Linked DNA regions of Drosophila melanogaster. The protein of the gene in region 3 interacts with the protein of the main gene of each other region in a pairwise test. Each region holds a gene or a part of one and is shown on either strand. Other genes may lie near its edges.

Region 1 (7,751 bases), on a different chromosome or scaffold from region 3:
TGGGTGCCTATAAATGTAAGGGACATACTTAATGCCTGGGCACGTTGTCGAGATCTTTCCCTCCTTCAGCAACTAGATGACCGCTTTCATTGCGCAAACGTGATGGGTAAGATGTTCTATAGAGTTGTTTTTTCATAGTTTGTATATAAAAGTTTTACTCGGTATTGATATATTACATATTTACATATTCAGTAAGAAAAATGTTTTCTAATCATAAAATAGAACGCTATAGTCGGCTTCGCCGATTTTAAGATACCCGTTACTCAGCTAGTAGAAATGCGATCGCGAAATTTCATAATTTTTCTGGAATATCGATAGATATACAAATATATATATATGGATTAGTAAGTATTGTTACCCCTGACACAGAGACACTAAACAAGTTCTTTTCTTTAATTGTAAACTAATGAAATTTTGCCAATATACGCAAGAGGGAAGCAATTTGACCTTAATTAGGCTAGTCCGTGAGACTACATAATTGCTACCCTAAGAACTTTAGGGAAGTCAATTAATGACGAGAGAATCTTATAGTCGATTTATTCAAATTTCAGATTTCCGTTACTTAGCCAGTGGGCGTAACAATTTTTGTAAGGTTAACGCAGAATACAAGTCATTTCAAATTGTATTAAATTGTTATTTTTTTTTACAAAATAACATTCTATTTTTTTCAGGAAAGGTTGGTCACATCGTGCGTCAGGCAACAGTAGCAGCATCCACACAAGCACAGGCATCGTCGTCAACCTCCTTTTGTAAACGCACCCTGCCCGAATATTTAATGATCCCGCAGTATTACATGAGTGGGGTACTGACTCTAACCCGCAAATGTTAGGACGTATTTGCACAACCACTCATTTATTTTCACATTAAGCCGGATACACATCATCTCTCTAGAAGTGCTTAGCCCAGTTTTATTGTTTAATTTTTTTTAATAAGTCATCTTCCATATTAAATCAGGTGATCGCATGGCCGTGACCCACCGCTTAAGTCGGGTTCAAAAGTCTCTCCGCTCTAAAAAAAAAAGAAAATAAAGAAACTCAAAGTTTAGTTGGTGTTTAAAGCTCAAAAATGTTTTCTATGTAGGCCATAATATACAGGTATCAATACAAATATATGTATCTGCCTCGCCTATCAACGCCTTATATTGTAATGTGCATATTTGTTTACGGAATACGTAATACATATGTATGTATGTACATATGTACATATACATATGTAATTATACCCGTTACTTGTAGAGTAGAAAGGTATACTAGAGTCGTTGAAACATATGTAACAGGTACATAGTTTTCCGGTCATATAAGGGAAATATATAGCATTCTCTCTTGTTTTGTTATTCGAATTTTGCATTAGATTGTTTTGCTAGCGAGTGAGCGCCATGCGTTAGAAATAATTGTGACACAGAAGCCTATTTAAAACAAACATGGCCAGCAAGGGTAACATAAGGTCACAGTTTTTTAATTGTTTGACAGCAAGAATTTTTAACGACTGCAATCCAAGTGCTTAAACTTTTCTCATAAGGCTGGCTGTGTTCTGCACGTCGTTCAAGGGCCGTGACGCAACATAATTGCTACTGCAGATTTTTGGATAATATAAATAAAAATAATATAATAAAAAACATTTTCTAACTCAACTCATCTCAGTTGATCATCATCTTCCTGAATTCTTCTTTCGTCTTCGTTGTTACCCGCCTTTCGTTTTTAATCTTACTTTAGCGTTATATATATATACATGTCTGAAAACAAAACAGTATGAGATACACACCACACATATATTGGAAAAAATATTTCTCGGATTGGTGGGCCAGCTCAAAGACAGGAAAAAGGCTCTACATTCGAATTAAGACAATCAGAATTTTATTATACTCTATGCTTTTTATAAGAAAGGGATCTTGCAAGCGGTTTATAACTACATTGAATTAGCTGATAAGTTTCTACTAAGAGTTCCCTGCGTATAGAACGACATATTTCTTGCTGGTCCAAATTTTTGTGTTGCTTTAAAACTCACAAGTTAGTTTCTAGCACGTATGAATGTCACTGTTACTTTACAACGAATCTAGTATACTCTCTCTATACGAGTCACGCGTATAGTTAGTAAGCCGGCTACTAAAAAACAAATCAAGAATTTCTGCTGTTTTAAATTTAAAATTCAATCTTCTTTAATTACTTATTTAACACTTCAACGGCCAGGAGAATGTTATTTTTCAGGTAAAAGTGTTAGTCCAACACGGACTATCGTTTTTCAGGTCGTGAACGACTTACTGGCATAAACATGTTCTGTCCAGTTGGCTATATAGCATTACCACTTACCCAAAATTTGTTGTCTTACACAATTCTGTTGGCATAAGCATATTATGTGAATCTTAACTCTTACTCTTAAGTACTGTTAGATTTACTCAATAAAATTAGTTGGAGTATTGACAAGTACGATCTTAATTTATTCCCTTCGACAGAGGTGGTCCTATATCATAACGACTTGAAGACTTGAACTGTACAGAACTGTATGCCAGGCATACTAGTAGAGCACAAACAAATGCAAACTTTTAATCCAGTCAGAACTGGCTTTTGTCTTTCACAAGGTCGACAAACGTGTAGATCCCTTGACAAAAACTCAGCTTCATTGGAAGTACCATAGCATTCTGGCGAAAAACATCAACGGAAGACCTTTCCTGCAACATATATGGCAATAAGTGGGTAGTGATCAGAACACAATGTAAATTTTAGTCTAATAGATTATGCCCTAGCTTTAAACCTTAATATATAATATAAAACTTTCCTTTTCCTATTGCACTATTTATTTAGATGTGTTATTTAGCCCTTGATAAAACGGCAATAAGTAATACTCTAAAGCTTATTCATATTCTTCATATTGATATTTATATAATATTTTATTATTTCTGAGAAATTATTTCTGCATTGAAAAATTTATGTATAACCGCAAAAATATTTTGTTAATTTTTTCGTGTTTTACCACTATATTTGCAATTGTTATAAAAATGAAGTATCCGAATACCTGGTCTAAATATAGCCAACTTACGGTAAAGCAACACTAGAATAATACCAAACTAAAATTATTTTGTTTAGTTAATTTATAAATTACTAAAATTATCATAGTGTCTTTGGTGAAATAGAGGTCCTTGGACCTAGAGCGCGGGAGAACTAAAAGTCAGCTAGATCTTTTAGCGAAAAGATCGAGACGTTTGTAACGAAGCAAGTCAACGAACTGAGACAAAGTAGTTGATGTTTCGAAAGCAGAGCGCGGTAAGTATCACATCAAAGAGCCTGGTTTCAGAGAAATCGACTTTATAAAATTTGAAAGATAAAAGGAAATTAATTATTTTTAACACCATTTAAAAATTAAATTAAATTGAAGAACATCGAACAAAGTCAATAATATTATTTTCGAACATTTTCGTCTTTAGCCTGGAAAACGAAACCGTTGGCCTACGACATAATTATATTTATAATAAACATACGAATCGAGGTAGCCTGGGCAGTCGTTATTATTCCAAGTGTACCATGGGCAAGAATAAAGTCCATGGAAACTGCAAAACTGCACTGTTGTTTCTGATAGCCGAGCAATCTTCGCACACTATGTATCATTCCAAAAATTATTCAAACATCTAAAGAGTTATTATACCCATTAATCGTAGAGTAAAAGGTGCAAGATTCGTTGTAAGTATGTATGTAACAGGCAGAAGGAAGCGTTTCCGACCATATAAAGTATATATATTCTTGATCAGGATCAATAGTCGAGTCGATCTGGCCATATCTGACTTTCCGACTGTCCGTCTGTCCGTATGAACGTCGAGATCTCATGAACTATAAAAGCTAGATGGTTGAGATTAAGCATACAGTTTGCGGAGACACATAGCGCCACACTATTTAAAAATTTTTAGATTTTTCTTCGTTTTATTGTTTGACTTGCCAATTTTTATCTGCATACCAAAAACACTGGCCACGCCCCTCCTTTTACATACAAAACCCCCAAAACTGCCACGCCCACACTTTTGAAAAATTGTTCTCACATATTTCTCATGTTTATCTTCCACTGTTATAAACTTCGCCGTTACTCCAATTCCGCTTTGTCTCAACGTTTCGCCAATTTTAATAAGAATCTATTTTTGTTAGTGCCCCAATGTCCAAAATATTTTTTTCTAGTTCATTTGGTTTTATTCAGTTTTGGAAACATCATTTCAGCAAAATTCTGCTAACAAGTACATGTGAAAGGGTAAGGACTTAAAATAAGGGAATAAAAATCATTGATAAATACCCCGGGACAATATTGGGCCTAGAGTGTAACCAAAAAAGAAAACCGAACCGTACGAAGATCCCCGCTCTAAATCCTATTCCGAACGGTTCGCTAGTTTTAATATACAAATTTTTTTTACTTGTTTATTAGTCATTGCATCTACTAGTAGCGCTGCTGCGATGGACGCCCACCGGCGTTGTAGTATCCACTGGCTCCTGGAGGCAAGCTAGGCGGCATTGGTGGTGGTGGTGCAGCGCTCCCGCTATAGTGTCCGACCACTGTCTGCTGGACTCCCCATCCGGAAGAGGGGTACGGCGGCATAGGCACTACCGGCGGGGGCGGCGGTGGAGGAGCATGATAAATGTGGTACCCGGATGGCTGACCTGGTGGTGTTGGGCCCTGTAACAGGTTCTGGGAGTCGCTAGGACCAATGATTGGCACGCCACTGGCTAGGGATTTAATGCTCTGAATGTTGCTAACTTCCAGCACGCCACCGTTGCCACATACGGGGGGCGGCGGCTGTTGTGGAACGGAAAGTGGTCCAATACCCGTAGAATTGGTAAGCTTGCCGGATTTTGGACTGTCGGCTCTGCTTGGTGGCTTTTGGGGCGGACTGGTTGGCTGGAGCGCTTCTTTTTGGGTTGATTGGTACAGGTCCAGAACTTGGTGGCAGATGTCTTCGAGTATTTCCATCGTTACATCAGACACAAACATATCCCACCAACGCTGCTGCTGTGGCTGGCGGCCCTCCCAGTCTTGCACAGTGAATTTGCTTAGCTTGCTGGCCAAATGGATAAGAGCCACGGCGATAATCTCCGGCTCCCACTGTAGACAAACTACTGTGCTGAGAGAGTCGTTGACGAAGTTCCACGCCATTTGCACCATCTTTTGCAGCTTCTGCTGGTCGCCTTTGAAACACTTAGCGTACTTTAGGAGAAAGGTGTAAGGATGCTCTACTTGCAAATCGAATTTGATGGTCTGCAGCAGAATACGCTCTAGCGTCATCACCTCCTCCTTAGGGTCGTCGCCAAACGAGTAGAAGTAATTGTCGGTAAGGATGCCACGCGCAGTTTTAATAATGTCGCGACACTTCTTTGGCGTCTCCTCCACCTTGCCAGCAAAGAACAGGCAGCAGCACGCAGTCACGTACCGGGGGAAACTCCGGAACGAATGAAACATGTAAAATCGGTGAAAATATACAACGCCGGTGGCCATCGTGTTGTGGCCCAAGCCCATTTTGGTGCCACATTCCATAATAAATCGAGCACCTTCTTTTCTGTACCGCCGCTCCGTTTCGAAGCTTATTCCATCCAAGATCGAGGGCGTCTCCCGCAGCTCCTTTTTGTCGTAATACCAGCACGGCATCGCGGCAATTTAGGCTGCGGGTACTACCAGTAGTCCGCGTCGTTGGAAGGAATTTGTGTTAAACCTTTAGCCAAATGGTTGTCAGCATATGCGCGTCCTGGAGCCGATAAGCGCTTTTGTTTATTGTAAATAAATCAGTTTTCGATTTTTATGTTCACTTGCAGTGTTACCATGTCTACGACGATGAAGAAAAAAACTTTATTGGAAGCCCCTTTTACACCAAGACCACGACGATTTTGAGTATATGGAACAACTTTATTGGTAAATAGATAACGCAAAAATTTTCGATCTCTTGCGGGTCAAACTGAATATTTTTTGTGCGTTTGCTAGTTTTGGTGACTTAATTTTGGGATATAATTAAACAGATATATTTACACGTGGTTTTGGCCGTCCTTTGACTGTTACGAGGAACAAATGGGATGTTTACACTGGAATCGCATTTCCATGTTTTGGAGATATCAAACCAAGCATAGGGATTAGTGATGGGAATTGCGCAATTTGTTTTGTTGTTAAATGGTATATTGAAATAATTCATTATGTATAATCCTACTGGATAACAAGTATTTCAATTTAAAGCATAGATAGCATTCGTTAAACATTATAAAATGTAATAACAAGATTATGAGCAGTGTAAGCGCTTTCTATTTAATAGTAATTACTTCTAGTAATGTGGTGATGAATTTATTATAACCGTTAGTCGTATTTTCGTATTCCGACCATTTAAGGTATATATATTCTTGATCAGGACCAATATCCTAGTCGATCTGACTATAATTTAATTAGTCTTTTTAATTTCTATCGATTTGTCAATAAAATTTTTGCCACGCGCACTCTAACGCCCTAATGCCACACTTTGGAACAATTTTGAAATTTTTTATCATTTTATATCCCATTATCTATCGATATTCCATAAAATTGATGCAATTTCGCGTTTGTATTCACACTAGCTGGTAACGGTTATTTGATAGCCTTGGAACTCGACTATAGTATTCTTTCTTTTATTATTAATATAAACGCGAGTGATGGCACTATAATTTTATTATGTTTCTATATTTTTTATGTTTCTATAATGTGTGTTAAATTCTTAAAAATCGATATATATCACTCAAATTACATAATAATGGAAAACCGAAACGTGAGCTTGATAGAGCGAAACAACCAAATCAGTCGAGATGCTTCTTTTTAACGTAGAAAATGTTATGTATATTTTTCTTTGAATCATGCACTTAGGCTAGTGAACATATTTTCAAACCTTACCGCTCAAGTGATCATTGACTTAAATAAAATTTTACAAAACTCAAAGAACATCCAGCAGCACGCAGACACGTATCAGGGGAAACTCAAGAATGAATGAAACACGTAAAATCGGTGAAAATATACAACGCCGGTGGGGATCGTATTGTTTTAATAATATTATATTTTTTAATGAAGTACAGATAATATGGAATTGACTTTGATTGAATTTAAAAATGTATATTAAAATTTATCAGTGATAACAAACATTTTATATTTCTTTCACCAAGTGATTCAGTATATGTATACAATTCTAGTATTTTAACTTCTATTTAACGAGCACTTAGGGAATGTGAATTTCCGTCATTCGACTGCGCCAATTGCATGCTAAGTATTTGGTTGCGGTTAACAACCAAGGCCGGAGTACCCCCAACGTTGAAAACTATCTACGTCTCACAAGACAAGCAATTACGATCTCGAACTTCAAAAAGGTAAACAAACCCAAATGTTGTGCAAATTCTAACGTTTGATCACCCCTGATCGCAGATTCCGTCTATGCGGATTGTGTTGTTATCCTGGGAAAGCTACAAATACCGCGTATAAATTTGCTATATTCGTAATTGGGTTCGAAGCTAAGCGATGCCCAGCCTACCAGTTCGGCGTACACGGAAGGATTCCCAATTGGAGAACGATGACGATCTTGGTCGTATTGCCCAAATTTATCCCACCTATGCTACACTCAGGTAGATATTTTTGGATCAGCCGCAAATTTCCTGGCTTGGCTATGTCAAATGACTTAATCGACATTTGATTTCACGGTTTTATTTATACGGACATACATACATGTATTTCATATTTTAAAATATACATATTTGCCTTATTTAAAAAATAATAATTAATGCTTA
Region 2 (6,260 bases), on a different chromosome or scaffold from region 3:
TCGCTTACGCTCACCCGCCATTTCTCTCTGTGTACCCGCTAACCATGGAACCACTTTCTTCCTATGACAGAGTCAGCCGTGGCATATAGTTCCGCCCCAGCATTATCCACTAATCTCTATCAACAGCCACTGCCAACGGGCCGCTCCTCCGGCTCCAACTCCAGGTTAAGTCTGTTGGAGAGCTTGGTCTGCATGACTGCCGATCCCATATCGTTGTGCTTTTGGATTTGTTTGCAGGTAAACATGAAGACCTCTCATCTTTTATAATATTTGTATATGAAAACCTTTTTTGGCAAACATTCAATTACTTTTAAACGTGCAATTCATTCCTTTAAATATTTACATAGCTCGCAAACTCTTTAAGCCCGAAAAGATTTCAAGTCCTGATGGCCCTTCAGGTGCCACAACTCCTCCAACAGGGTTGTAATGTGAATTGTAGTCGTTAAGCAATTTTCTTGTACTTTTACAATGCCAGAGGAAAGGTATGAGGTCATATATGGTTGCCAGGAGCCGCTGAAAATTGTATCTCGATCCAGATTTAACCCATGAGAATTAACAAAATTATACGAATCTATTACAGTAGCGCAGATAGAATTTACTTTATTCAGGACTTTCATGTATTACTTTTTGACATCGATTTTTGTGCACATAAATTTCGATATACATGAGGATTAAATTTAGAGTTTTGAAGATTGTTGTTGTAAGGCTACACAGGTATAATTGCAAGGCGTTTCACTTTTTTTTTTTTAAGGAATGGTGTTTAAAAGTGTGCACGTGTTTTAACTTTGTTTTCAAAGACGACTGCCTTTTTCAGATAAGCGTTTGTTTCGTAAGCTAATTAATTGTATTCCATTTCAGTCACAATTTCTCACTTTGGCCTGTCGTGTGTGTGTGTGTGTGTGTGTGCTTGTGCATGTGTGCGTGTATCTGTATTCCACGAGTGTGGTAGTGGTACTATTCCGTCTACACTTGGAAATTTAAGCACTAAGTCCACTCATTTTACATTTTACGCAACGTTTGCGCTGTAGAGTGTGTGTGTGTTGTGTGAGGATGAACATGGTTGGATTGTAGTAACTTAACTAATCTTAACTGGTAACTTAGAACTAACTGAATTGTCACTGGTGTTACGTTGGCCAAAGCAGCCGTCGTTTGTTAGCTAATTTTTTATCATGCAGAGGCTAATTTTGATATCAGCGATTTTATCAATTTTTGCTTATTTTTTTTTTTTTGTGGAAATTTTGCAACTTTCGATTTTCAATCTTGCTGAATTTGTTGCATTTCAAGTACGTGTCGAACGTTTAAAAAATCGTTGGAAACTTAATTTTGCTATACTGTGAGGGCCGAAAAGAAGCGAAACGCGAACCAAGTTCATTCTTTTTATAACACCAAACGCTGGCCCTGATCGAAATAGCATTGTCTTGGCCAGCGTTTCAGGCAACAGGTGGATTTTCCAGAGCCTATTCCACCTGAATTGCCTGTACTAAATAACGGTATGCGTATAAAAACAAGGATATCGAGGGCTAGAGAGATTGTAAGTGTGATTATCTAAAACTAATTCCCTAGTGTTTGCGTTGCGCCTACGTCGAGCAATCGAAAAGCAATCCTTCAAGGATCAGGATCGCCAGTTTTCGTTGCTCGCGCATTTTTTCGAGCTGTTTCATCTTAAATGCAGTTATACATTTATAATTTTTTTTGTTTAGAAGACCAGGTTTTCTTAAATGATCTGATCCCTCTCCACGCCGAGGCCCCAGTTTTCCAATGTTGTTTTGTTTGGATTTTTTGATTTTTTTTTTTGGGGGGGTCACTATATCGACGCTTGAGTCGGTTTGCGTGTGTGTGTTTTCTGTGATGTGTGTGTGGTGGTGGTATAATGGGGTGATTTTCGATTGCCCACGCTGGGTGGCTATAGGTGGCATTTGGATGGCCACCCAACGCGATGCACATCCCATGGTGCGAGCGGTACTTAGTAGACAATGAGCAGGTTGTTTTCATTGAATCCAGCCGAGTGACCAGCATTGCGTACAATGAAACAGGATCCGTCGAAGTGCATGCGCTTCTCATTACGACTGCAAAAAAAAAAAGAACAAAAGGAATCTTCAAATATCCGATTAACTGAATTACTGCAAAAGTATGGAATCAATTAAACACTATCAGTGTTATAATCGAATAAATATACGACGAGAACAATGCATTCTTCGAGTGCATCATTATTGCAAATAGGTGTGGATGCAGTGGCCAACTCACCGGACGAACAGGTGCGAGGTCTTGCCCAACGAAGCCGTGCAGTGGATGCCGGTGGTGGTCAGGGTGGCGGATCCATTGCCCGGACTGGTGCGAATCAGGCACTTGCTGTGCTGGCGGCTGACCTTGACCAGGCCGTCGGCCGCCTGGGTGATGCGGAATCCATTGATGTCATACACCTCGGTGCCGTCCTCGGCGCAATTGTAGGTGGAGTTGGCGATTACGTCGTGGGCATCGGACACAAAGGATGGGCCGTGGCGCGAATCGCTGGAGGGTGTTGTTAATTGGAAAGAGGAGCTTGGCGAATTGATTTGGGCAAATTTCGTGCTTAACTCACTCATAGAACACCGCCAAGGTGTAGTCCTTGGTCAGGTCGGTGAAGGTATCGGTGGTGGTGCGAGTGCCAGCTGTGTCCACCAGATAGATGAGGGCACAGGACTCGCTGGTGAAGCTAACGCCCTTGTACCACATTTTGGCATAGCGACTGGAAGAAAATGATTGCAGCTATAGTTGCATAGATTTTATACGAAAATCTAATGAGAAGTACAAGTTTAAATTCCAAAATACTAGTTGTTTGCCACTCTTAAAGTAAAGGTTCGATTCTACTTCTAAGCTTACACAAAGTTGTTGGCCTTCATTCCGTCGTAGGTGACGATCTCCACCTTGGAGCCGCTCTGCAAGATGCGCCCATTGGGATGGATGAGGGCAGAGTTGCTGCAGTTGCGCGATAAGGCGGCGGCAACCATGCTGCGCTGATTCAGCACACGGACAGCCTTGTCCAGGGTCATGTCAATGCTGGAATCGGGAATGATTTGGAATGATGATCAAGGGATAAATCTCCTACCACGTTCACTTACCGAACGCCCTCGCGCAGGCGCAACTGGATGGTGCCATTGGACATGGCAATCGGTCCAGATCCTGGACACGGTGGTGGTGTGTTGTTCTCGAACTCAAAAGTGCGCGAGCTGACGCGATCCATAGCAAAAGGTGGTGGTGGCATTGGCGATGGGAACTGCTGGGTGTGATGTGCCTGTGGCTAGGTAGATATCGCATATTTCTAAAATACGAAACACGGGGCAATAAATCAAAGCACTTACCATGCAGTAGGCTCCATCCACCTCATAGCCATAGCCAGAGTTGAAGCGTCCCGTTAGACTCTTGCCGCTGCGCGTAATATTGCCGGCATCCATGTTCCAGCCCATGGTCTCGTAGCCGGCACCAGATTGCGGCAGGACTCCGAAGCCCGAGTGGGAAGATGCGTGCATGCCCATATTCATGTAGCTGCGGCCGCAGCTGTTTGTCTGGCTGGAGCACTCCTTGGCCAGGACGGAGGTGCTGGTGCCCACGCTGGCGCTGTTGCCCATGCTGCTGCTGCTGTTGCCGCGCTCCAAGCCGCGCTTCACTCCGCCAGTCAGCGAAAGGCTGCTCATACGTGGAGCCAATGGGCTGTTCATCGATGACACAAAGCGCATGGTGGCTTGCTAGGGATTGGTAAGGGAAAAGGTATCACATGGTACATCAAAGATCACTTGCAAAAAATGGGAAGAAAAGATGACTTGCAAAAAATGCTAAGAAAATATGACTTGCAAAAATGACTTGCAAAAATCAAAGAGACGATTTTTTGCATATGCCTTCAAAATGAAGGCAATCCTATGGAGAAGTGACAACTCTACTCACCGGCGATGGGTTGTTGTTGGTGAATACGGAACGCTGGCGCACACCATTTGGAGCCTTGGTGGGCGAGCGCAAGATGTTATTGATCTTGTCGTTCAACTGGGCGCGGGACAAGAAGTCCTCGGCATTGAAGATGCCAACGCGGCCGCTCTTGGGCGTGGCCAAGGGGGCGGGGCCCGGTAGAGCCAGCTCCTCGACATGGGGCTCATCCAGGGCGCCGGAGTGCTGGCACTGCACCTCCTTGGTGCTGCTGGTCTTAGGTGCAACGGTGTCCTGGGCGTCGGTAACCATTTTGTCAAGATTCGATTGTTCAAAATTTATGGGAAAACCGTATGGAATCGAATGGGTGATGGATGATGGTGTTGTTGTTCTTGGTTGAAACGGGGCCTGGACTTTGGTATGTGGATCTAAACGAGAACGGCACACGCGGCGTGCTGGACAGCGAAAATCAAAGTACTCTGCTCGACACGGAACACAACGACTCAATGAGAGGAATTTAATTTTTTACTTTTTATGACTTTTCAAGAGCACTGCTCGCTGCGACAATTTTCGAAAGAATGACTTGCCTCAAGTGCCGATGGAAGGATGTGCCATCAATTCTGACACTCACTGGCCTACCGGGTTTTTCGATAGTTGAAAGTGTCGTAATATCGAGTACACGATACTTTACTTTTCCCTTCGTCCCTTTGAAGCCCTGGCACTTTTAGATTTCCCGTGAAAGTTCAACGTATATCCGATTAGTGCTGCATACTTTTAGACGGCAAAAAGCTGATTGAATTCAAAATAACGCATTTAAGGACGACACTGTAGTGCAACCCATCTCCTCGCTTTTAGTGGCCGGAAAACGAAGTTTCGCCTTCGTAATTGAATCGAGAAATAGACTTGAACACACGCACAGCAGTGCAGCTTCCAGCAATTTATTGCCGCTCATTTGTATAGTTTCTACGCAGCTATAAGCTGCAGCAAAAGACTTAGGCTTTAAGATTTATTGGGAAACTGCATTTTCCGAACGGGAGAAAGTGCAAGAGAAAGTGCCGTCATTCTTATCGATGCTGGTTAAATGCTGAACAAGTGCGCAGAGTTGCAAAGTTTTGAAGCGTTGGCAGGAAATGTCAAGAGTCAGATAAAAGTGATGTTTGCACGTAGCACAGTTTAGTACTTTGCTAATAAAAAGCTATCCCCTTCTAAATTGTTGCTTTAACGTGGCTTAAATATGTTGTCAAAGTCAAACAATCACGCAATTTAAATGTATTATACATTCAACTGAAACTTTTAAATTGACATATTAAATAAGAACTGGCATTTAAAGTTTCTGCGAAATGTAAACTGCTCTTATAGAACTTTCCAGTCGAACAGCTACAAATTTTTGGATTATTTCTTAATGAATAAACACTAAAATCATAATATATTTTAGTAATAGCTGCTCAATCGTTTTTCTTGTCAGTTATTAGCCATTTTATTTGCCTGAATGTTGACATATTAGCCACAATTTTGGCAAACCCCCAAGGTCGTTTTATTTCCATTTTTGTGGGTTCACTAACTCACCTTCAGTGTGCAAAGTCCCTGAACTTCCGGAACTATTGTGTTTTTTGTATACGACTGTCAACTCTTTCCGCTCTCATGATTGATTTTGCCTCTTGATTTCAGTTTTTTCTTGCGCGGATTAGTTTGTTTAATGAGCGCATTGACTCCTTGCATTTGGCCATCGGCCCACGCAGATTTAGATTGACACTTTCGCCATCATATCTATTTAAATGGACGCGTTTATTTAGACACTTGGCTGGCATATTTTTTAAATTTTATTTTTGGCACTTGGTCGGATCATTAAAATTCAGCCACTGCAGCTGCAATTCCGCCCACGCATCGCATTGACTCAGTTTTGAGCAACACCAACTGAAAGTGAAAATGTGTAATATATTTATAGCAGGAATGCAATCGCATATGCATTCAATGAAATACGGAAACTCATTTGTAAAAATCACCCCGTCCACCGAAGTGATTTTTCCGTTGTCACTTTCGCCAGCCGCAAGTGAAACAAATTGGTTAACCTCCTTTTTCAGTATTTATCGTTAAAAATATTCGCAAATATTCAGACAGCTGAAAATTCAGATTTTCAGCGAGCGTCGTTGGAATAGTTTGCTAAATTTTGAATTCAAGTTGTAATTACGCTCGTTTTGTAAAGGCAAAGGCACATTTGATATGAAAACTAAAAGGAGAACATCAGCCAAATGAATAGAGAAAATTCGCTATTACTTGCCGAAGCTCGTTAAAATGTGGAAAACTATTTTCGCCTTCTGCAGTCAGTGAACTTTGGCGCAGACAAAGATCATAAAATCCATACTAGT
Region 3 (4,548 bases):
GAAGAATCATATTTACAACGATTTTAATGCAACAGATTTCACCATATTTACCGGGGGAAATGATCGTGGCACGTCATATCATTTACCACACCATTATACATATGTATGCAAAGCTATCTATATACTATACCATATACAATAAACAGACTCACGACCTTTAGCAGATGTACTTTAGTTTTTAGTGGTCCGCGGCAGGAAGCGAATCCTCTGCCGATTTATTTAGTAACACACACACACACACACACAATTCCTGTACATTATTGTTTTAGTTGAAAATATAATTAAACAATTATTGATATTTACATTCTGAATCCCAAAAGGAAATGGTTCTTTATTGGAGTATTTATTTGTCGATACAGTAAGTACAATAGTACTCTTAAAGTATATAATTTCATTTTTAACCGAGTAAAAGGTTTTAGTTCATAAAAAATAGGTAATAAGAAAACAATTTTATAAATTCAACAAACTTAAAGTTTAAGAAACAAACAGAACGAAACAAAAAACTATAACTACACTTCATAAAAGAATATGCACTTTACCCTTTACTTCCTGATTTGGATAACTTGGCATATTCTCAAACGTGAATAACTTAAACCAAAGTTTATTGCAAAACTCCCCGTATCCTTATACTTCCTGATTTATTGTCAGTATTCGAAGTTATTGTCGTTTACTTAAAGTGTAAGTTGCAAATGTGACTATAATACTAAACGTCTTTTACCCTAATCTTCCTGATATTTTCGTTGTTAAGGGTAAATTGACATACATAAATGGTAAGAAACTAAAAGTGCAGTTTCTTTAAAATAATTCACTTTACCCTACACTTCCTGATTAGTGTTATTAAGGGTTATTGTCTCCATTCATAATCTCTTCTTGTTTTGTTAACATTATTTGGGGTTATCGTCATATACTTGTACCTTCCACCTTCTGATTTATTGTCATTAACTTATACCCTACACCATAAGATTTATTGTCGTTATTGCGGGTTGTTGTCATATTAATTAGTTTCTTGATAAGATAGAAAAACTACAGCTTATTAATTAATGCCATTTACCCTAAACTTCCTGATTTGTTAACGTTATTAAGGGTAAAATGGCATGTATTTGTGCCATTAGAAACTAAGACTAGTTTATTAAAAATTGCCTCTTCCCTGCTCTTCTAATTCGTTATCGTAATAAATCCCTCAATAAAGGAGGTATGTAAATATTAATTAAGTTGTGAGTCAAGTAAAATACGATATGAATGTTGTACTTTCCACTGAACCTAAAATAGAAATATGTTAACTTCTTTAACCCATGCTAGTCAGTTGCAGCAGAGCACAAGCGGTCTGCTGATTATCCCCCGATTCGTGGACCTTGCGATGGGTGCGCAAGGCAGAGGGTTGTATAAATTTCTTGCCGCAAACGTGACACTCAAAGTTCTTTTCGCCAGTGTGGGTCATTTCGTGATATTTTCGCGTGTCGGTGGTGGCAAATTTCTTTTCGCAATAGCTGCAGGCATAATCTCGTGCCTTCTCGTGGATTGCGCGGATATGTTTCTTAAGACTCGTTGAGCTGTTGCAAACTTTGGGGCAATCCTTGCAGGACCAGGTCCTTTCCAGAGTATGATAGTTGATATGCAGTCGCAGTTCGTTTTTGGTCGTCTTCTTGAGACCACAGTAGGGGCAACTAAAGTTCTTTATGCCCTGGTGACGCATCATGTGGATCTTGAGTTTCTCCGTGCTATAGAATCGCATAGAACATTCCGGCAGTTCGCAGGCATATGGCAATACCAGCTGGTCACCGTGTGTGAACCGATGCTGGCTTAGGGCAGAGCCAGTCTTGAACACCCGACCACAGAACTCGCACATATGGGTCTTCAAAGGCTTGCCAATGTCGTGAGCCTTGCTTTGGTGGTATTTCAGCGAGGCCTTGTGCCGGTACATCCTGTTGCAGCCCTCCTCCTCGCAGACAAACCGCATGCCCACTTCCGAGTGCTCTAGCTCGTGCTGCCTGAGGTTCTCGAATCGGTTGAAAGCTTCCTCGCATCCGGGCTCAGTGCAATGATACAGCATGTGTCCCTGGTGTTCCTTCTTGTGCAGAATCAAGCGTTTCTCCTCTCGAAACTCGTCGGCGCACAAGTCGCACTTGTATGTGGTCAATGGCGGCTCCTGAAATCATTGAATACAACTTAACTTACACTCCTGTTTAAACCTTAAACCCAAACTCACTTCCAAAGCTTTCTTTTCCGTTTCCGGGGGTTGCTGGACATTTTCGGTGAAGGTATGGAATACCAAGGTTGGCGGTGCCTGTTCAGCGACTATTGGGGTATTTTGTGCACTCAAATTGGTATCACATATAATCATCTCCGGCGGCTCCAATAGAAGTTCTTCCAGCTCCAGCTCCTCTTCCTCATCTTCATCGACCTCGTAAACAGGTTTCCTGCGATCTATTTTCTTCCAAGTTACCAGACTTTTAGAACGCCACTTATTGTCGGCTATAATGCAAAGTGCTCGGAAGGAGTGGAACTTCTCCAGAAGCTCGTAGCACTCCGAGCAAATTTCGCTGGGCAAAATATCCTGGTCATCAGGATCCACCACCAAATTTGTGCACTCCGAAAATTTGACGGCGAGATATGGATGGTGCAGCAAATTGTAGGCCTCGTCGTCTCTAGCCACATCGCTGGAGCATACGCGGCATTTGTCCAGGTGTCCCATTAAGTGGTTGAATCAAAGTTATTGAGACCTTTTTTTAAATTCACAAGAAAAAATATTTTTCTGTGTCCTGTCTGCCGTTTTTTCTTATCGCTGTTGTTTGTATACTAAACAGCTGATAGGGCTGGCAAAAATACCGCTGATAGCAATAGTGATGGCAAATAATAGCGTGAGTTGGAAGGGGTTAAATAAATATAGTATAAATGTTTAAAAATATCTACTGTAAGCATACCACAAATAATGTTAAATACATTTATATTTTTAATCCTTGCACGTACAATAAATGAAATTAATCGTGACTTAAAACAGCTTGTTACTCGTGGCACATCTCTAGCACCCTGTGCTAAAGTCACATCTCTAATGGGGGGTGTATAAAAAGTTGTGCTGTTGCAGTTTGTTATTTATTTTTTTCCAGCACAACAATGGATAATTCCAATGGAATCCACTACATTGAGCTAACCCCAAATCCCATACGATTTGATGCTGTCAGCCAACTAACCAATGTGTTTTTCGATGACTCCAACAAGCAGGTATAGTTAAAACATGTTAAAAATCCATGTTGATGATGGCTAAAAATCTATATCTGTAAAGATATTTGCTGTTCGGTCTGGAGGAGCTACTGGTGTGGTGGTCAAAGGTCCTGGATCTCCCGACGATGTCGTCATCTCCTTTTGCATGAGCGACCGTGGCGGTGCCATAAGGTCCATTAAGTTCTCGCCGGACAACCAAATCTTGGCCGTTCAGCGAAAGGAGAATTCCGTGGAGTTCATATGTTTTCAGGGAGATCAGCCTCTGCTGCAGGACATCATTACCCACCAGGTGAAGACTCTGATCCATGGCTTTGTTTGGGTCCACAATCGAGAGGTGGCCCTGATTTCGAATACCGGCGTGGAGGTCTACACCGTAGTTCCTGAGAAGCGACAGGTGCGCTCTGTGAAATCCCTGAGCATTGGCATCAAGTGGTTCGCCTGGTGCTGCGATGCCAATGTGGCTCTACTGTGCACCAGCGAAGGAAACTCCCTGATTCCGGTGCTGGTCAAGCAGAAAGTAATCACCAAGCTGCCCAAAGTGGACTGTAAGTAATCCTTTTGGGTTAAAATCCTTTAAAAGCGTTTTAATCTTTCCTTTCAGTGGGCAATCCAAGTCGCGATGTCCAGGAGAGCAAGGTCACCTTAGGCCAAGTTTACGGCGTGCTGGCTGTGCTTATCCTCCAGTCAAATAGCACCACCGGACTGATGGAAGTCGAGGTGCACTTGCTCAATGGACCGGGCTTGGCTCCACGCAAGTGCCATGTGCTCCGCTTAAGTCTGCTTGGTCGCTTCGCCATCAACACGGTGGATAATCTGATTGTGGTGCACCATCAAGCTTCGGGCACTTCGCTGCTATTCGACATCTCCCTGCCCGGAGAGGTGATCAATGAAATAACCTATCATACACCCATAACTCCAGGGCGCTCCATCAAACCGTTTGGCCTGAAACTGCCCTCACTTTCGCCTGATGGACAAATCTTGCAGTGCGAGTTGTGTAAGTTCTTTAAATATCCAAAAAGTTACTTTATTTGACACTTATACCCATGCAGATTCCACGCACTGGGTACTGTTCCAGCCAAATATTGTAATCGATGCCAAGTTGGGTTGCATGTGGTTTTTGAACCTCTGCATTGAACCATTGTGCCAACTGATTTCGGATCGCATTCGACTTACAGAATTCCTGCTGCAACGCAGCAATGGCAAGCAGATGCTATTAAAAGTCATTGGACAATTGGTAGATGATCAGTATAAGGGAACTCTATTGCCAGTCCTAGAGACCATCTTCAGTCGGATTAACAAGATCTATGCGTAAGTTAAAGACGTTATTTT
Region 4 (4,683 bases), 2.3 Mb from region 3:
AAATAAAGTTATGGCCAGCAAAGAGCCAAGTATCTAAAAGATACGAATGCGAACGGAGCAAGAAACTGCTCTAATATATAAGGATGGTTAGCCCATCTAGAGCTCTAGATGTGTGCGTCAGTTGGCCTCAGGTGAAATGTGTGTGGAAAATGAACACGATTATGAGCAAGCCGAGAAAAAAGGCACAAATAACACGAAATTCGGTTGCTAAAAATAAGCGAAAATTCATTTTTAAGTATAGTTAGGCAAATGTGTGTTTGTGTGTGGAGCACAGGTGGAGGAGATCGCTCGAAGACGAACGAGAATTTTCACTCGAAAAGCTTCGGTTCCTTTGGAAAAGTGAGCCAAAAATCGCCGAACGAAGCGTGTTCGCAATGTAACAGAAATTATTTACACAATATGTATTTACTATGGGGGCACATGGAGAGACCCGTCAGTTGCCAAAAAGATATAATGCAGAGACAGTCATCTACGTGACCATTGAACAACAATTGTTAGATGACATCGCATTGTCTGAGGCTGAGCAGACTGCTGTCCGCACGGCCAAGGATTCACTCAAAATTGTATATTTTTGTTTATTTCGCACAATTTTTTTTCACACACTCTCTACGTCTATTTATTTATGCTGGCGAATAACACGTTTCGATGCCAAAAGTCAAGTATTTTTAGAAAACATTGCTGTAATCCTAATTGGCTGTTAGCGAATAATTTAGAAGGCATATCATAGAAAATTTTGACACTTTTATGATTTTTCTGCTTGTGTAAAAATGTTGTAATACCCCTGAGATCTGTATAGCATATATATTTGGGCTCTATATTTGGCTGGGGTTTCATGCTCTAGCCTCTTTTCTTTTTGATAATAATATATGCTAAATCAATTTGAAATCAATCGATTCAAATATTTACATATATAGTCTCTAACGCTTAAATGTATTCAATATTCTAGATGTTCTAATGTTCTAGAAACCGTTTCCAAAAGTCAAATCATTCTATTTAAGTTTGCTCCCAGAATTATATCTCAATCTTTATAGTCTAGGGACTACGTGCTGGAATACTGGTTTGGCACTACCTTTTAAATAATATCCGAGGCCCCTGAACCAAGAAAATGTGCCAATAAATATAAATTATGAACTTTATGATCTGCAGAGGATGCCAAATATTTCAACATGACTTATATGTATGTACGTTCGAGAATTGGGAAAATTTATGTGTAGATACATTCTGGCCAGACGCTAGATACACAAAATGAAACGCACAAATGACACAGGCTAATTACAGGTAAGCAATAGAAAAGAAAAGACAAGAAAAGCAGGCGTACTTCGTGTTTTTGAGTTTATTTTCGTAGGGGGCAAGCTCTCAGGCAAACTAGCGTGAAAATGCGTTCACACAAGCTTCGGCCCAAGTGAAATGAAAAATCAAAGAATTTTCCACACAACTGAGCAATTAACACAACAACACGGCCGCGTGAAAAGTCACTCGAAAGTCCCACTCACATTCACATAGGTGGTGGTGGTGGCTTATAGATATATCTCAGGGTATATCCCACTCGGATCCGATCGGCGGGGAGCCGATGGCGCCCGACGGCGACCGAAGGCTCCCGAAGGGAACCGAATAAATCGTTGAAATAGACGAATTCAGCTGGCAGGCCAAACCAATTCAACGAAATACTCTTTATTCGAACGACAACGGGATCTCTTGTTCAGTAGATCACCAGCCTTACTCCGACGTTTATTACGAATTTTCTCGGTGACTCGGTGACAACTACAAAACTGCGTGCGGTGCTGTATAGATTTTCGCTTGAGAGGAACACACAAATCATAATACTAGATACGCGAACCGATCGCACATTAATTTATAGAACCAAAATCGAAAATCTGACCTAGCAAACATGTCGTCATCGCAGGCTGTCCGCTCCTCGAAATACTCCTACCGTGCCACGTCCACCGGACCCGGTACCGCCGATGTGAACATCGAGTACATCCAGGACCTGAGCTCGCTCTCCCGCTTGGAGGTAAGGATCCCGTCCCGCTCCGTCTCGGAATCTCGAATTCGAATTCGTAATTGGAAGCGGACCGGTATCGTTTAAGAAATCGGCATCGTATTGGGCACCAAATCCCCAAAAAGACGTTGGAATTCCGACCAGGGAATAGGAATACGAAATGCGTGTGCGCCAAATTTTCTTCAAAATCTACGAGAATTTCTCTCTCTTGTTTCGGTGTCTGTGTAGAGACTGAAAAAGAATCGGAATATAATCAAGAAAAAATACGAAAAACAAACTAAGAAACCCGAAAAATTCATCTACACTCTATATCAAATGCACATATATACCGTAGATATATATTCGTGTGTTAAGTTCTCGGCGCGTTCTTGTGTGTGGAAATATAGAAAATTCGGTGAAGCAAAATTCTAGATTTGTATATGTATCTAAACGTGTCTGTATATACATATGCATTGCTAAAAAATTATGTAATGGCCACCTCTGGGCAATACATATACACGAGAAAACATCGAAGAAAAATTTGTGAAGAAATCAATCAACTGTGCTGTAAAGTGCTTTTTAATGAATGTTTTAATCAAATAATATGAAATAACGAGCCCATAAAAGATCAAACTCAATAAATGTATCCACCATTTTCTTGCAGGACAAGATCCGTTTGCTCCAAGATGATCTTGAAGTTGAACGTGAGTTGCGCCAAAGGGTGAGTCATTCAATATGGAAATATTCATAATTTTAAATATTTTTAAGTTATTTTTGAACCGAGTATTTTTAAGGTATTACTATAGGTTTCTTTGGAATATTTTTGAACATTCTTAATTTATTGAGAGCATCGTTTTTAGTCAATAAGATTATTTGCTGATGAAATCGGCGTCAGAGATATGACATATCCGAGGAAGTTAGAAAAGATCAGACCGCATTCTCCGAGACCCAATGGAAATCAAAGCGCCAGGGAAAACCATTTTTACTTTTTTCACCTCGCAAATGTCACCCTAAAAACAGCAAAAATATGTGGAAAGCCAAAATAAAATCAAAATAGACCAAAGTAGCAGTAGCGATAGAACCGATAGAAAAGTCAGCAAACAAATGCAAATCTAAGAATAAACTACCCTTCGTAGAGTTTCGAAAGTGTGAAAGTAAATGATAATGATGTGCATTGAACTTCAATCGCTTTCGTTTTTGGCTTTTCCTTCCCTGCGGAGCATTGATAAATGATTTTTCCCCTGACTTTGCAAAGACAGCGGCCGCAAAGACAGCAAAGTCAGGAACAGCCAGAGAAAAGTGGGAAAATTCGCAGGCCGAAAGTGCACTTCATTCAGCGCAATCCTCTTGGGCGTTACAAATTTAGAAAATGCGAAGAGCTCTTGCCGGAATGGAATGGGCTGGCCAGGAATGTTCTGAAAATTTTGTTAAAAAATCAAATTTAATTACTTTGTGCCTTATGGATTAGCACGCACTCGCACACAGATACAACGCCCCCCAACACACACTCACAATATATGGAACAAAATGGCTAAAATTAGCGCACGACATTCAATACAGAGAAGCGAATGATTAACTTGAAAACAACCAAAATATGAGCAGAGAAGAAAAGAAAATAAAGTAGCCAAAAAGTCATCATCATCACCATCTTCATGATCAGCGGCGGCAGAGAGGAAAATTCGCTCGCTCACTACGGGAAAATCTTCGCTTTTTGTCTGTGGGCGTGTGTCTGTGGGAAAATTAAATAATTTTCATGCACATTAAAAGTCTTCACACCGCCTGGCATTCTTTCTACATATCCACATATGCATATATAGGCGGCAAAAACATGTATCTACAAGATACATATGGCGCAAATGGATTTACGGCCCGTACTTACGTGGCCTTTGTGGCAATCGGCAACTTTTTGTTATGCCAAATGAACGGACAAACACATGTTCGCCTAGGTATTATCATAAACATAAATGTACAAACATATTCAGCGAGAGATTTAAAAGAGATTTATCAGACCAATACGTTCTTTATTTAAGCTTGGGGCATTTCAGTTAGCTGAATTTTTTATGATTGCTTCGGACAGCTCCAAATACCAGAAATCCCAATGGCCGCACATAGCTTTCATAAAATAGCATTTAATTGCAATTCGCAAAATTGACCAAACGAGGTCGTCGACAAAGGCGAAAAGCAAATGTTTAGATTCCGAGGGAGCCAACAAAAAATGTTTCTGTTCAAGCGAAAAATGTTCGAATGCCTTTTTGGAAATGCAATCTAGGAAAGCGGTGTGCGGCCGCCCACAAAAGATATATACGCATATATAGACGCATATATCGTGGATGCAATCGGACTATGGCTACACCTCTGCGTGGAAGATTTCTTGGCAAGATGCCATTGTTATTTTAGGTGTTGCATGTGCATAATTATTTTTGACTGATTAATGTGATTTATAATTTTTATTATGGGCTGTTTGAGTAGCCACAGAGCATGGCTAGCGCAGGGTATTTATAGATCCTTCACATTATACCAAGTCGCTAATGAAATCTCTTCTTAATCTCTGCTTATATTCTTCAAATTTCAGATCGAGCGCGAGAAAGCCGATCTCAGCGTTCAGGTCATTCAGATGTCCGAGCGTCTCGAGGAGGCCGAGGGTGGTGCTGAACATCAAGTGAGTACCATGTGGTAAACCAATATTGCAATCCAGCCATAACTGA

What was found.
Region 1: the proteins of CG10147 (region 3) and CycK interact in a two-hybrid assay, tested with the Drosophila melanogaster proteins (one large-scale study listed by BioGRID).
Region 2: the proteins of CG10147 (region 3) and fest interact in a two-hybrid assay, tested with the Drosophila melanogaster proteins (one large-scale study listed by BioGRID).
Region 4: the proteins of CG10147 (region 3) and Prm interact in a two-hybrid assay, tested with the Drosophila melanogaster proteins (one large-scale study listed by BioGRID).

Annotation. Positions count from the first base shown.
Region 1 is NT_033779.5:22,124,111-22,131,861, forward strand, and holds CycK (cyclin K), read right to left. Parts: upstream 6,033-7,751; 5' UTR 5,614-6,032; coding exon 4,411-5,613; 3' UTR 830-4,410; coding exon of another isoform or gene 672-829; 3' UTR 175-671; downstream 1-174. Other genes in the region: CG3651 (uncharacterized protein), read left to right, coding at 1-106, 672-829.
Region 2 is NT_033778.4:19,340,030-19,346,289, reverse strand, and holds fest (wurstfest), read right to left. Parts: upstream 4,482-6,260; 5' UTR 4,207-4,481; coding exon 3,919-4,206; intron 3,723-3,918; coding exon 3,339-3,722; intron 3,278-3,338; coding exon 3,099-3,277; intron 3,037-3,098; coding exon 2,860-3,036; intron 2,726-2,859; coding exon 2,579-2,725; intron 2,509-2,578; coding exon 2,245-2,508; intron 2,067-2,244; coding exon 1,964-2,066; 3' UTR 536-1,963; downstream 1-535. Other genes in the region: Rgk1 (Rad, Gem/Kir family member 1), read left to right, coding at 193-237.
Region 3 is NT_037436.4:6,485,650-6,490,197, forward strand, and holds CG10147 (uncharacterized protein), read right to left. Parts: upstream 2,776-4,548; 5' UTR 2,693-2,775; coding exon 2,207-2,692; intron 2,147-2,206; coding exon 1,286-2,146; 3' UTR 518-1,285; downstream 1-517. Other genes in the region: bulli, read left to right, coding at 3,112-3,219, 3,281-3,764, 3,821-4,213, 4,269-4,527.
Region 4 is NT_037436.4:8,742,291-8,746,973, reverse strand, and holds the start of Prm (paramyosin), read left to right. Parts: upstream 1-1,663; 5' UTR 1,664-1,888; coding exon 1,889-2,011; intron 2,012-2,642; coding exon 2,643-2,699; intron 2,700-4,550; coding exon 4,551-4,637; intron 4,638-4,683. UniProt on the Drosophila melanogaster protein: Paramyosin is a major structural component of many thick filaments isolated from invertebrate muscles.